2 linked regions of the Macaca mulatta genome follow. The protein of the gene in region 1 binds, or shares a complex with, the protein of each later gene. Links are inferred from orthologs where the notes say so. Each region holds a gene or a part of one and is shown in the gene's direction. Other genes may lie near its edges.

Evidence for each region. Proteins that work in one complex are often made in the same cells at the same time.
Region 2: the proteins of ZC3HAV1 (region 1) and KHNYN are in contact, whole or in part, in a crystal structure (PDB 9BGL), measured with the Homo sapiens proteins. The link is inferred for Macaca mulatta from reciprocal best matches to the Homo sapiens genes ZC3HAV1 and KHNYN. Residues at the interface, in NP_064504.2 of Homo sapiens: Glu5, Val6, Cys8, Phe9, Lys12, Ile13, Ala16, His17, Glu29, Ile30, Ala31, Leu32, Leu113, Glu115, Phe118, Ser127, Gly128, Leu129, Asn130, Glu133; in NP_001277186.1 of Homo sapiens: His651, Lys652, Asp654, Phe655, Gln658, Arg659, Pro661, Tyr662, Asn677, Phe678.

The regions. Positions count from the first base shown.
Region 1 is NC_133408.1:178,910,110-178,915,202, reverse strand, and holds part of ZC3HAV1 (zinc finger CCCH-type antiviral protein 1), read left to right. Parts: intron 1-2,334; coding exon 2,335-3,474; intron 3,475-3,924; coding exon 3,925-4,026; intron 4,027-5,093.
Region 2 is NC_133412.1:97,557,832-97,562,924, forward strand, and holds part of KHNYN (protein KHNYN), read left to right. Parts: intron 1-664; exon of another isoform or gene 665-668; coding exon 669-776; intron 777-981; coding exon 982-1,083; intron 1,084-1,635; coding exon 1,636-1,885; 3' UTR 1,886-4,706; coding exon of another isoform or gene 4,707-5,093. Other genes in the region: epimerase family protein SDR39U1, read right to left, coding at 4,707-5,093.

The DNA.
Region 1 (5,093 bases):
AATGCTGCTGTAAATATGGTGCACAGAAGCCACTTTAAGACCCCGTTTTCAGTTCTTTGGGGGTGTATAATCTGAAGTAGAATTGCTGAATCACATGGTAATTCTATGTTTAAGTTTTTGAGGAATGATCATACCTTTTTTTGTAGCAGCTGTGTCATTTTTCATTTCTGCCAGCAATGCACACGGGTTCACATTTCTCACATCCTCTATCATTTCGTGTTTTCTGATTTTTTTTTTTTTTAAAATAATAGCCATCCTAAGGAGTATGAAGTGCTATTATTACTTTTTTTTTTTTTTCTTTTTTTGAGACAGTGTCTCACTCTGTCACCCAGGCTGGAGTTCAGTGGTGTGACCTCAGCTCACTGCAATGGCCGCCTCCTGGGTTCAAGTGATTCTTCTGCCTCAGTCTCCCAGGTAGCTGGGATTAGAAGTGCCTGCCACCATGCCCAGCTAATTTTTGTATTTTTAGTAGAGATAGGGTTTCAACATATTGGCCAAGCTGGTCTTGAACTCCTGACCTCAAGTGATCCACCCACCTTAGCCTCCCAAAGTGCTGGGATTCCAGGCATGAGCCACTGTGCCCAGCCAAGTGCTCCTATTTCTGAAGCATTTTCATATTATATAATGACATTCATTTTTAATGTCTTTATGAAGTGGATGTAGAAAAGGTGAATTTTATAAAGCAGATAGAATACATGATTCTAAGATTCTGTGCAAAGTAATGAACAATTAAATTTCCTTATATTTGGGAAATGGTTTATCATTTACAAGGGACTTTCACCCCAAATAAATATTTCATCATTGTTCCTCACAGTGAAACCACAAAGAAAGGCAGATATGTCATTTATTAGCCTTACTTAAGGGGGAAAAGAAACTGAGACTCAGAAATATTAAGAAACTTCTATTGCAAGCAGTCTCAGCTCATTTTTAGACGAATGAAGGATAATATAATGAAGAAATAAAAGGTAACATTTTCAAGACCTCACACCACTAGAAAGTAGCAGAGTGCATGTTCTGATCCCATATCTAATGTTTTTTCTCCCACACTACAGTGGCCTCGGAACAGGGGAACGTCTGGAGGGATGGGTTTTGGTGGTAGCTTCTCAATGTAAACTTACTGTGAATGAGAAAGATCTGTATATGTTTTCACTTCTAGTTAATCTCCCGAGTGAAGCCTTTTCTTGACAGGAGGAGGGTGTTTGCTTTTACTACATTACTGCTGCCCCCTGGGGTTTGGAAGAGAAAAAACGTCTCTTCTACCCCTTCTCCACACAAAAAACACAACTCACACACACACGAGCACACGTGCTCACCTCACATTCACACACCACACGTGCACATGTGCCTCAAACACAGACATGCGCGTCTTCCACATGTACCCCCAGCACACACACACACACACCCCACATAAACATCACACGCACGCACGCCACACACACACTCCACACGTGCTCACAAACACACCCTACTCCTTCCTTCCTCCCTGCTTCCAGGAGGGTGTGACCTGTCAAGTTTCTAGAGGGAGGCCAGTTCCCTCCAGGCCACACTGCTTTGTCGATGTTGACTTCTGATACACTTTGGCCTTATGGAGTGGGATGAAGAAAACTAGGAAAATTTCCGGCTTAAACAAAGTCAGGCCTTTAGACTGTGGTTTCATTTTCTGTTGGTTTGTTTGAAGCATTGTGAATCTGTCAATAGCCAGGTACACCCATATCACAATACGGGCAAAATTGAATGCTTTCTGGAAAATCTTCTCTGATTTGCCCTAATCTGTCTCTCTCCATTGACCACAGTGGTGAATGTTGACTCAGGACCAGGAGATAGTGGACAGCCCCACCTAAAAGTTTTGGGGTTTGGGGGCTACTTTGAGTCCCAGAAGAGAGCCTGGGTCTCACTATCATCCTAGGCCATGGAATGACGTGCTCTGCCGTGCAGGCAGAATGTCAGGATTCTTTCATCAACTGACACAGTCAGTGAGCACCTGTAGTCCCAGCTACTAAGGAGGCTGAGGCGGGAGGATCGCTGGAGCCCAGGTGTTCGAGGTTGCAGTGAGCTGTGGTCGGGCCACTGCATTCCAGCCTGGGCAACAGAGCAACACTCCATCTCTTAAAAAAAAAAAAAAATTTCCCGTCATTGTCAAACCACTCACCTTCAAGATTTTTACACGTCAAACCACCCATCTTCAAGATTTTTACACATCAGATTAGGCCAAGTAATTTGATAGCACTTGGATAGCAAGGCTGGAAAAGCAAAGAGGAGGAAGGGTGGTAGGAACTCAGTTACATTAACTCCAGTGTTCATTACTTTGTTTCATTTTGGCTTTTTCTCCCCTAGCTCCTTCTTCACATCGTAGAAACATGGCGTATAGGGCTAGAAGCAAAAGCCGAGATCGGTTCTTTCAGGGCAGCCAAGAATTTCTTGCGTCTGCTTCAGCGTCTGCTGAGAGGTCCTGCACGCCTAGTCCAGATCCGAGCAGCCACAGGGCTTCCCTGGAGGACACGCCTGTGGATGATCTCACCCACAAGTTCACGTATCTGGGGAGTCAGGATCGCGCTCGGCCTTCCTCAGGCTCGTCCAAGGCTACCGATCTCGGAGGAACAAGTCAGGCCGGAGCAAGCCGGAGGTTTTTAGAGAACGGCAGTCAAGAGGACCTCTTGCATGGAAATCCAGGCAACACTTACCTTGCTTCCAATTCAACACCAGCCCCCAAGTGGAAGAGCCCCACATCCTGGACGAACGACCAAGGCGCCAGGAGAAAGACCGTGTTTCCTCCCACGCTGCCTGCCGCCCTCTCTTCTCTTGGCTCTCTGCAAACACCTGAAGCTGTGACCACCAGAAAGGGCGCAGGCTTGCTTTCCTCAGACTACAGGAACATCAATGGCAAAAGTGGAACTCAGGACGTCCAGCCTGGCCCTCTTTTTAATAATAATGCTGATGGAGTGGCCACAGATACAACTTCTACCAGATCCTTAAATTACAAAAGCACAAGCAGCAGTCAGAGAGAAATATCAACACCTAGGACTCAGGATGCTGGACCTGCTTCCCGAGATGTTCAGGCCACTGGCAGAATCACAGATGATGCTGGCCCAAGAGTGGCACTTGTTAATGGTAAATACAAAGGGAAGAAACTTGGGGCTAGTGCATTTGTTCACGATACACCAAATGGCTCTAGTCAAGTGGCAGATAAAACTACTGACGTAGAAAAAACTGGTGCCACTGGTTTTGGCTTCACAATGGCAGTCATGGTGGAGAAAGATAAGTTACGTTCTGGAAGTCAGAGTCTGAGGAGCCTGGTCCCCACCACACCTGGGGAATCCACTGCCTCTGCACAAGTCAGCACTCTGCCTCAGTCACCTGCTGCGCTTTCCTCAAGCAACAGAGCTGCAGTATGGAGGGCCCAGGGGCAGAACTGCACCCAGGTTCCTGTTTCCCCTGCCAGTGAGCTCACAAGGAAGACAACAGGCTCTGCTCAGTGTAAGTCACTGAAGGACAAACGGGCCCCTGTGTCTTGAGTCTGCAGCAGAGTGGCTATGGCTGCTGGGTTTTCCTTGCATGTTCCCCAGTTCTTAAAGGGTAAAGAGTTAGAGGGTTTTGGTTAAGGGGTGGTCTGGTGAGGAGGTTGACTAGTGAAGACAGGGAACGACCAACCAGTAGAACCACAGGGAATAAGCTGCCACATTTATTGACAATAGGAATATTTCAACTATGATTTAAGAAATAAACACAACTTTCACAGGACTCTGAGGTCCACATTTTTGTTTTATGGAGGGGCTGTCTAGACACTCATGAGAAACACATAAATCATAGGAATTTTCTTGAACATGGCCTGCATTTCAGATATTCTTTCCCATTGTGAGACCAAGTGCCTTGATTTTTGGTTTAAACATTACGATCAGCATACATGCATCCTTTTTTGTTTCATAGATTCTTTATCTGATGTCACAAGTACCACATCTTCTAGGGTGGATGATCATGGCTCAAAGGAAATTTGTCTTGACCATCTGTATAAGGGTTGTCCGTTTAATGGTGAGTAACCTAAGGACTTTTCTGTAAGCTTCTACCTTTTGGCCATTGTAAATAACGCTGCTATGAACATGGGTGTGCAAATGTCTTCTCAAAACCTGGCTTTCAATTCTTTTAGATATATACACAGAAGTGGAGTTGGGGGATCATACAGTACTTCTTTTAATTTTTTTTTTTTTGCGGAACTTTTTTTTTTTTTTTTTTTTGAGACAGAGTCTCGCTCTGTCGCCCAGGCTGGAGTGCAGTGGCCGGATCTCAGCTCACTGCAAGCTCCGCCTCCCGGGTTCACGCCATTCTCCTGCCTCAGCCTCCCGAGTAGCTGGGACGACAGGCGCCCGCCACCTCGACCAGCTAGTTTTTTGTATTTTTTTGGTAGAGACGAGGTTTCACCGTGTTAGCTAGGCTGGTCTCGATCTCCTGACCTCGTGATCCACCCGTCTCGGCCTCCCAAAGTGCTGGGATTACAGGCTTGAGCCACCGTGCCCGGCCGCGGAACTATTTTTCATAGTGGCTGTACCATTTTTCTTTCCCACCAGCAATGCACAAGGGTTCACATTTCTCCACATCCTCACCAACACTTGTTCTTTTTGTGTGTATTTGTTTGCCTTTTTTGTTTGTTTGTTTGTTTTGAGACGAAGTCTCGTTCTGTCACCCAGGATGGAGTGCAGCGGTGCAATCTCAGCTCACTGCAACCTCTGCCCCCTGGGTTCAAGTGATTCTCATGCCTCAGCCTCCCAAGTAGCCGGGATTACAGGCGTGTGCCACCACGTCCGGCTAACTTTTGTATTTTTGGTAGAGACGGGGTTTTGGCACATTGGCCAGACTGGTCTTGAACTCCTGACCTCAAGTGATCCACCCGCCTCGGCCTTCTAAAGTGCTGAGATTACAGGCATGAACCACTGCGCCCAGTAACTGTTTGTCTTTGATAGCAGCCATTCTAACAAGTGTGAGTTGTGGACTATAATGAGTGGTTATGTACTTTTCAATCAGCCAAGTCTCAAGTGGGGCCACTCTATGGGTGTCCCTGCAGTGTCTAAACTTGTCTTTTTTGTTAGTTTGTTTTAGAGCTG
Region 2 (5,093 bases), on another chromosome or scaffold:
TTTGTGTAGGGGATAAGCATGCTTTCTTGTGGCAGGGCAGGGGAGACTTGAGGGTGGGTGAGTGGTCAGAGGTGGGGACCCCCTTGTTGGGAAGTGATGCATGATCTCAGTTGCAGTATTTGAATTACTAGGGTACTAATGGTGGTCCTGGGAAGGAAGGGAGCAGAGCACAAAGGCTTTTCAAAGGAAGGGCATGTTGGATTTGCGAGGGATTGGTTGGGCAGGGTGGAAGACAGTCAGAGCTAGATCTTACTGTTCACTAATGTGGCACAAAGTGTTGGGTAAAGGACTATGGTGAGCAGATAGGATACTACTGGGAGACCACCTTGGATTCATCTTTGTTTCCTCTCTAGCCCATGGCACTTATATCTAGTCAGTTGCCTGTAGCTGGGTCAAGTGAGGTAGGGGGCCAGATCTCCATCATCAGAAGTGACTCATGGGAGTCAGTAAAACTTCTGGGGTTGGGGCCTTGGAGAGTCTCAAATGGTTGCTGTGGTTTTTCCTTTTATTTTTATAGATTTGGGGGATACCAGTACAGTTTTGCTACATGGATATAATGCATAGTGGTGAAGTCTAGGCTTTTAATGTAACCATGATCCAAATAGTGAACATTGTACCCAGTAGGTAATTTTTCAACCCTCTCTTGGTTGCTGTGGTTTTGGAGACAGGTTCATGGTGAAGCTGGCTGAAGAGACAGATGGGATAATTGTCTCCAATGACCAGTTCCGGGACCTGGCGGAGGAGTCTGAGAAGTGGATGGCAATCATCAGAGAACGGTGAGGGAGCCCTCCTGCTGAGAATTGGGCACAGATGCAGATGTTTTTCTAAAGCCAGCTCTGCTCTGGCCATGGGGTGAAAACTCTGGGAAGCAGGTGAAGTTTTCTTGAAGGATGGAGCCAGCAGCTTCTGGTGATACTGGTCTCAGTCGTCTGGGAGGTGGGCCAGGGCCCCCTCTGTGACCACATATCTTTCGCCATCCAGCCTGCTGCCCTTTACCTTTGTGGGAAACCTCTTCATGGTACCTGATGACCCACTGGGACGAAACGGCCCCACCCTGGATGAATTTCTGAAGAAGCCAGCCAGGTAATCCTTCCCCTAGACTACTTGCGGGCAGCCCCCACCCCTGGCCCTCTCTCAGCAGGCCCAGAGACTTGGGTGGAAGTGTGATCTCAGTTTGGGCAAAATTAAGTGTAATCTTAATTTTGCAGTGGTTTGAGTTGCCTTGGCCTTTATAAGCTTCCCAGGGGATCCTGACATAGAACCTCCTTGCTGGTAGGGAAACACCTGCTTCCTGTTTCTCTTAATCAGCATGTTTGATGGAGTTATTTGGAAAACGGTTGCTTATACTGAGATCCAGTTGTATTCAGCTTGCCTTCTACTGACCATTACATAAGTGATTCATTTAGGACTAGAACTATATCATAATAGTGGCAGAGCTCACCCTGGTTCCAAAAGAACGGCCCAGCTCCCCTTCAGAAGTGGGTTGATACTGCCACTCAGTGGTCAGCTTCAGGAACTTCAGGGTTTCTCCCCCAAAGCCAAGAATAGGCAGGACAATTAAGAGAGGGGTAGCCCACTAAGATCTAATTTCCCTCCAGGATGCTCATCAGCTCTTTTTGGTCTGTTTCTTCCTAGGACACAAGGGTCTTCTAAGGCTCAGCATCCTTCCAGGGGCTTTGCAGAACATGGTAAACAGCAGCACGGGAGAGAAGAGGAAAAAGGTAGTGGTGGCATTCGGAAGACCCGGGAAACAGAGCGGCTCCGGCGGCAGCTGCTGGAGGTGTTTTGGGGTCAGGATCACAAGGTGGACTTCATCCTGCAGCGGGAGCCATACTGCCGGGACATTAACCAACTGTCTGAGGCCCTGCTCAGTCTTAACTTTTGAGCCTCACCTGCTTGAGTGGTTGCCGCCCGGTCAGCTCCAGCCGCCTCCAGCTCAGCCCTTTCTGTGAGAGTCCCTCTGCTGCTCACACTCTGATCCAGAGGCACCCTGAGTTGATGCTTTGGATCAGGGAAGCCACTTTGGGACAGGTCCATAAAGTGACCTGATCTTACCGAGTGAGGACCTCAGCCAGCTCTCAAGAGGTTCTGCTCAGCCTTAACTTCTCAACTTTGCCTTAGCACAGGGTTTCTGTAGGGAGTAGGGGCTGCTGGAGAGGATTAGTTCTGGACACTGAGACTGTTGGCTCCACCTCCAAGCTGAGCTGGGGTGGAGGGCAGGGTGGGCGGGAACTGACAGGAAGTTAAGCTGTTCCTCTCTCTGGCTGCTGCTGTGGATGGCCAGAGGACAGGATACTCCCTGGCTGAGCTCCTGGGAGTGTGGAAGGAGACGCTGGGCCCTGGAAGGGCCACAGCGTTATGTGGATGGGGCCACGATAGAATGGAGTGAGCTAGTGAAGAAGGCAGAGGGAGACTTGGCTTCTGGTCTCAGCTATGCCTGTTTGTGACCTTGATTGAGTTGCTTGGGCTTTACTTCCGCCTACAAATCAGTGGTAAAAATACCTGTTGGGAGGAGAAATGAGAACATAGAGGAAAGCTTCTTGGAGAAAAGGTGCTTGGACCAAGTCTCAGGTGTGTCTGCCTGTGGCTGCACAGGCTCTCTAACCAAAACCTCACTTTCAGAGAGATGTGGGTCCTTTGTCTTCAGGGTCCACACCCTAGATTTTAACACTGCATTCTCACTATAACATGCCCTATAATGGCTGCATCCCTTTTGAGCAACCTCCAAAATCCACATTTATACAATAGGTAAATTAGGGATGACTGCATTATCAGAATACTCTCAGGGTTCCTATAAATGGCAGCTCTCCTGTTGTATTCAAGTGTTTGTTTACAGACTAACAAATTTGTTGGCAAATCCCTGGTTAGATGCACTTGCTGGTGTTGAGATGAACACGTCGATTTTTCACCAAATCGATGAAGCCATGCTCTGCAATGACAATATTAATGTGATCCAACCCTAACATTTTCTCTATGGAAGATATATGTTGCATAAAGTGAGGCACACTTCTGCTTTATGTATGTGTGTATGGGGATGGGAAGACTTAACGGAAGTTGAACCAGTTGGTTCTAGATGAACCAATTATCTGGAAAATGAAATAACCAGAGTTGGAAGGCACTTGACTGGCCACCAGACCAACTCTGCTGTCACTAACATGCTCTCTCCACCCTGATTCCTACAGGTCATTGCCCTTGGTCTGCTTGAAGTCCTCCTGTGCCAGGGAATTTACTATCTCCAAGGTAGCACATTCCCTGTGTAGACGGTATTAATCAGTACTCCTTCCTTTAGTGCAGCCTAAAGTATGCTTTTCTGTTACGTCTACCTTTGAGGCTGGTCATACCCCCAGGAACAATACAGAGCCAGTCAACTTCCTGGAATCCAAGACCAGATAAAGAAGTAGGACAGGTGCCCCTGGATTCTGTTCTATGTGGGCCCTGTGATGAGTCTCTGGATAAGATCTTTTCCAGGCCGTGACTTTTGCCTCCCTCTGAATGGCACAGGGAGTTGAATACTGCATGGAGAATGTAATGATGATGGGGAGGGTCCTTGGGTCCTTGTGTCCTCACCCCTCCCTTTTTGGTGATTTACACCACTGTACCATACTGACCCAGGCTGGGGGCAGGTGTGTTGGAGACAGGCTGGTCAAGGAGGTGACAGTGATTCAGAGATAACCCAGAGGTCCCTGAGAAGAAGAGACTGGTTAATATGGCCTGAACTGGTGGCTGGGGGAACTGTGTCTGATCAAGTTATGGCAGATGTCACAGCTTTAGGTAGGTAAAAAGGGTCTTAGATGAAAACTTGGGAGGTTTTTTTTTTCTCCGGATAGGGTTGTTTATAGTTCTTGATTGGTATCTTGCTCTTTTCACTTTCAGTGATGGTGGGTGTACAGTAGACCAAAAGTATCTTCTGCCCTTTTGTGCTAACGGCGCTGGTTGACTTGAGTGGCCCCAGTCAGATGAGAGGCAAGTCCTAAGCTTCTTATAGACAGGGATGTTGGCTTTGTTCTGCTGCAGCCTGATAAACTGGGACCACTGTGTGGTTAGTAATGCACTTGCCATTTGGTGACACAGACTGAAGTCTATCCTACACCTGGGCCTCACCTCTTCCTCTACTGGCATTCTAATGGCACTCTGACAGCATCCAGGGTGACTACAGGGCCCACTGGAAATGGATCATCATTCTGTCTTCTAGTGCCTACCTTTATCATAACCAGATGTCCCAAACTTGTGACAAGCTCTTTTGGCAACTGAAGGACCAAGAAGGGAGAGGGTGATGAGAGAGACTGCCCATTATAACTTTCAAAACCCCGTCTTGGGGGAAGAATCATCTAGGGTGACATTCCTTGAAGTAAATCGTAGGCGAATCTAGGCCAGAGAGATGAGCCAAGGTTAGTGAGATAATTTATCTTTATTGCCTAAACTGCAGAGCATTCTCTACACAGCATAAAGGAGAAGTGGGGCAGCTGCAGGACATGTAGAGAAACCCAACTAGGAAATCTTGCAAGGAGTTGAAAAGATTAATGTCCCAACCTGATGAGATTACAGCCTTGAGACAATAAGGTGGAGCAACAGAACAATGGGAAAGAGGACTGGGGGAGAAATCTAAGAACCAGATGGCTTCAGCTCTCTAGAGGAGCTGAGCCTATTCACAGTGCCTAACCTGGAAGCCTATGAGGGACAGGCCTCAGGCCCTTGCCATGACCTACTTAGGCTACAATTTCCTTTAAGGCAGCCCCTAGCTCTGGGAAGGAGTACTGGTAGCCAGTAGCCAGTGTTCGCCGTGGGATCACGTTCTGGCCCTCCAGCAGCATGATGGCACGCTCTCGCCCAAAGACAGCTTGCACTATAGTGCTGGGGACAGGGATGAAGGCTCGGTGGCCCAGGGCAGCACCCAAAGCCTGGGCAAACTCAGCATTAGTGGCGGAGGATGGAGCCACTCCATTCAGGACCCCGTGCACGTGGTTTGCTTCAAGAGCATGGGTCAGGATTCCTGCCAGGTCCCCGATGTGTATCCAGGGGAAGAATTGGTGGCCTGAGCCGATGGGGCCCCCCAGGCCCAGCCGAAAGGGCAGCAGCATGTGGCCGATGGCACC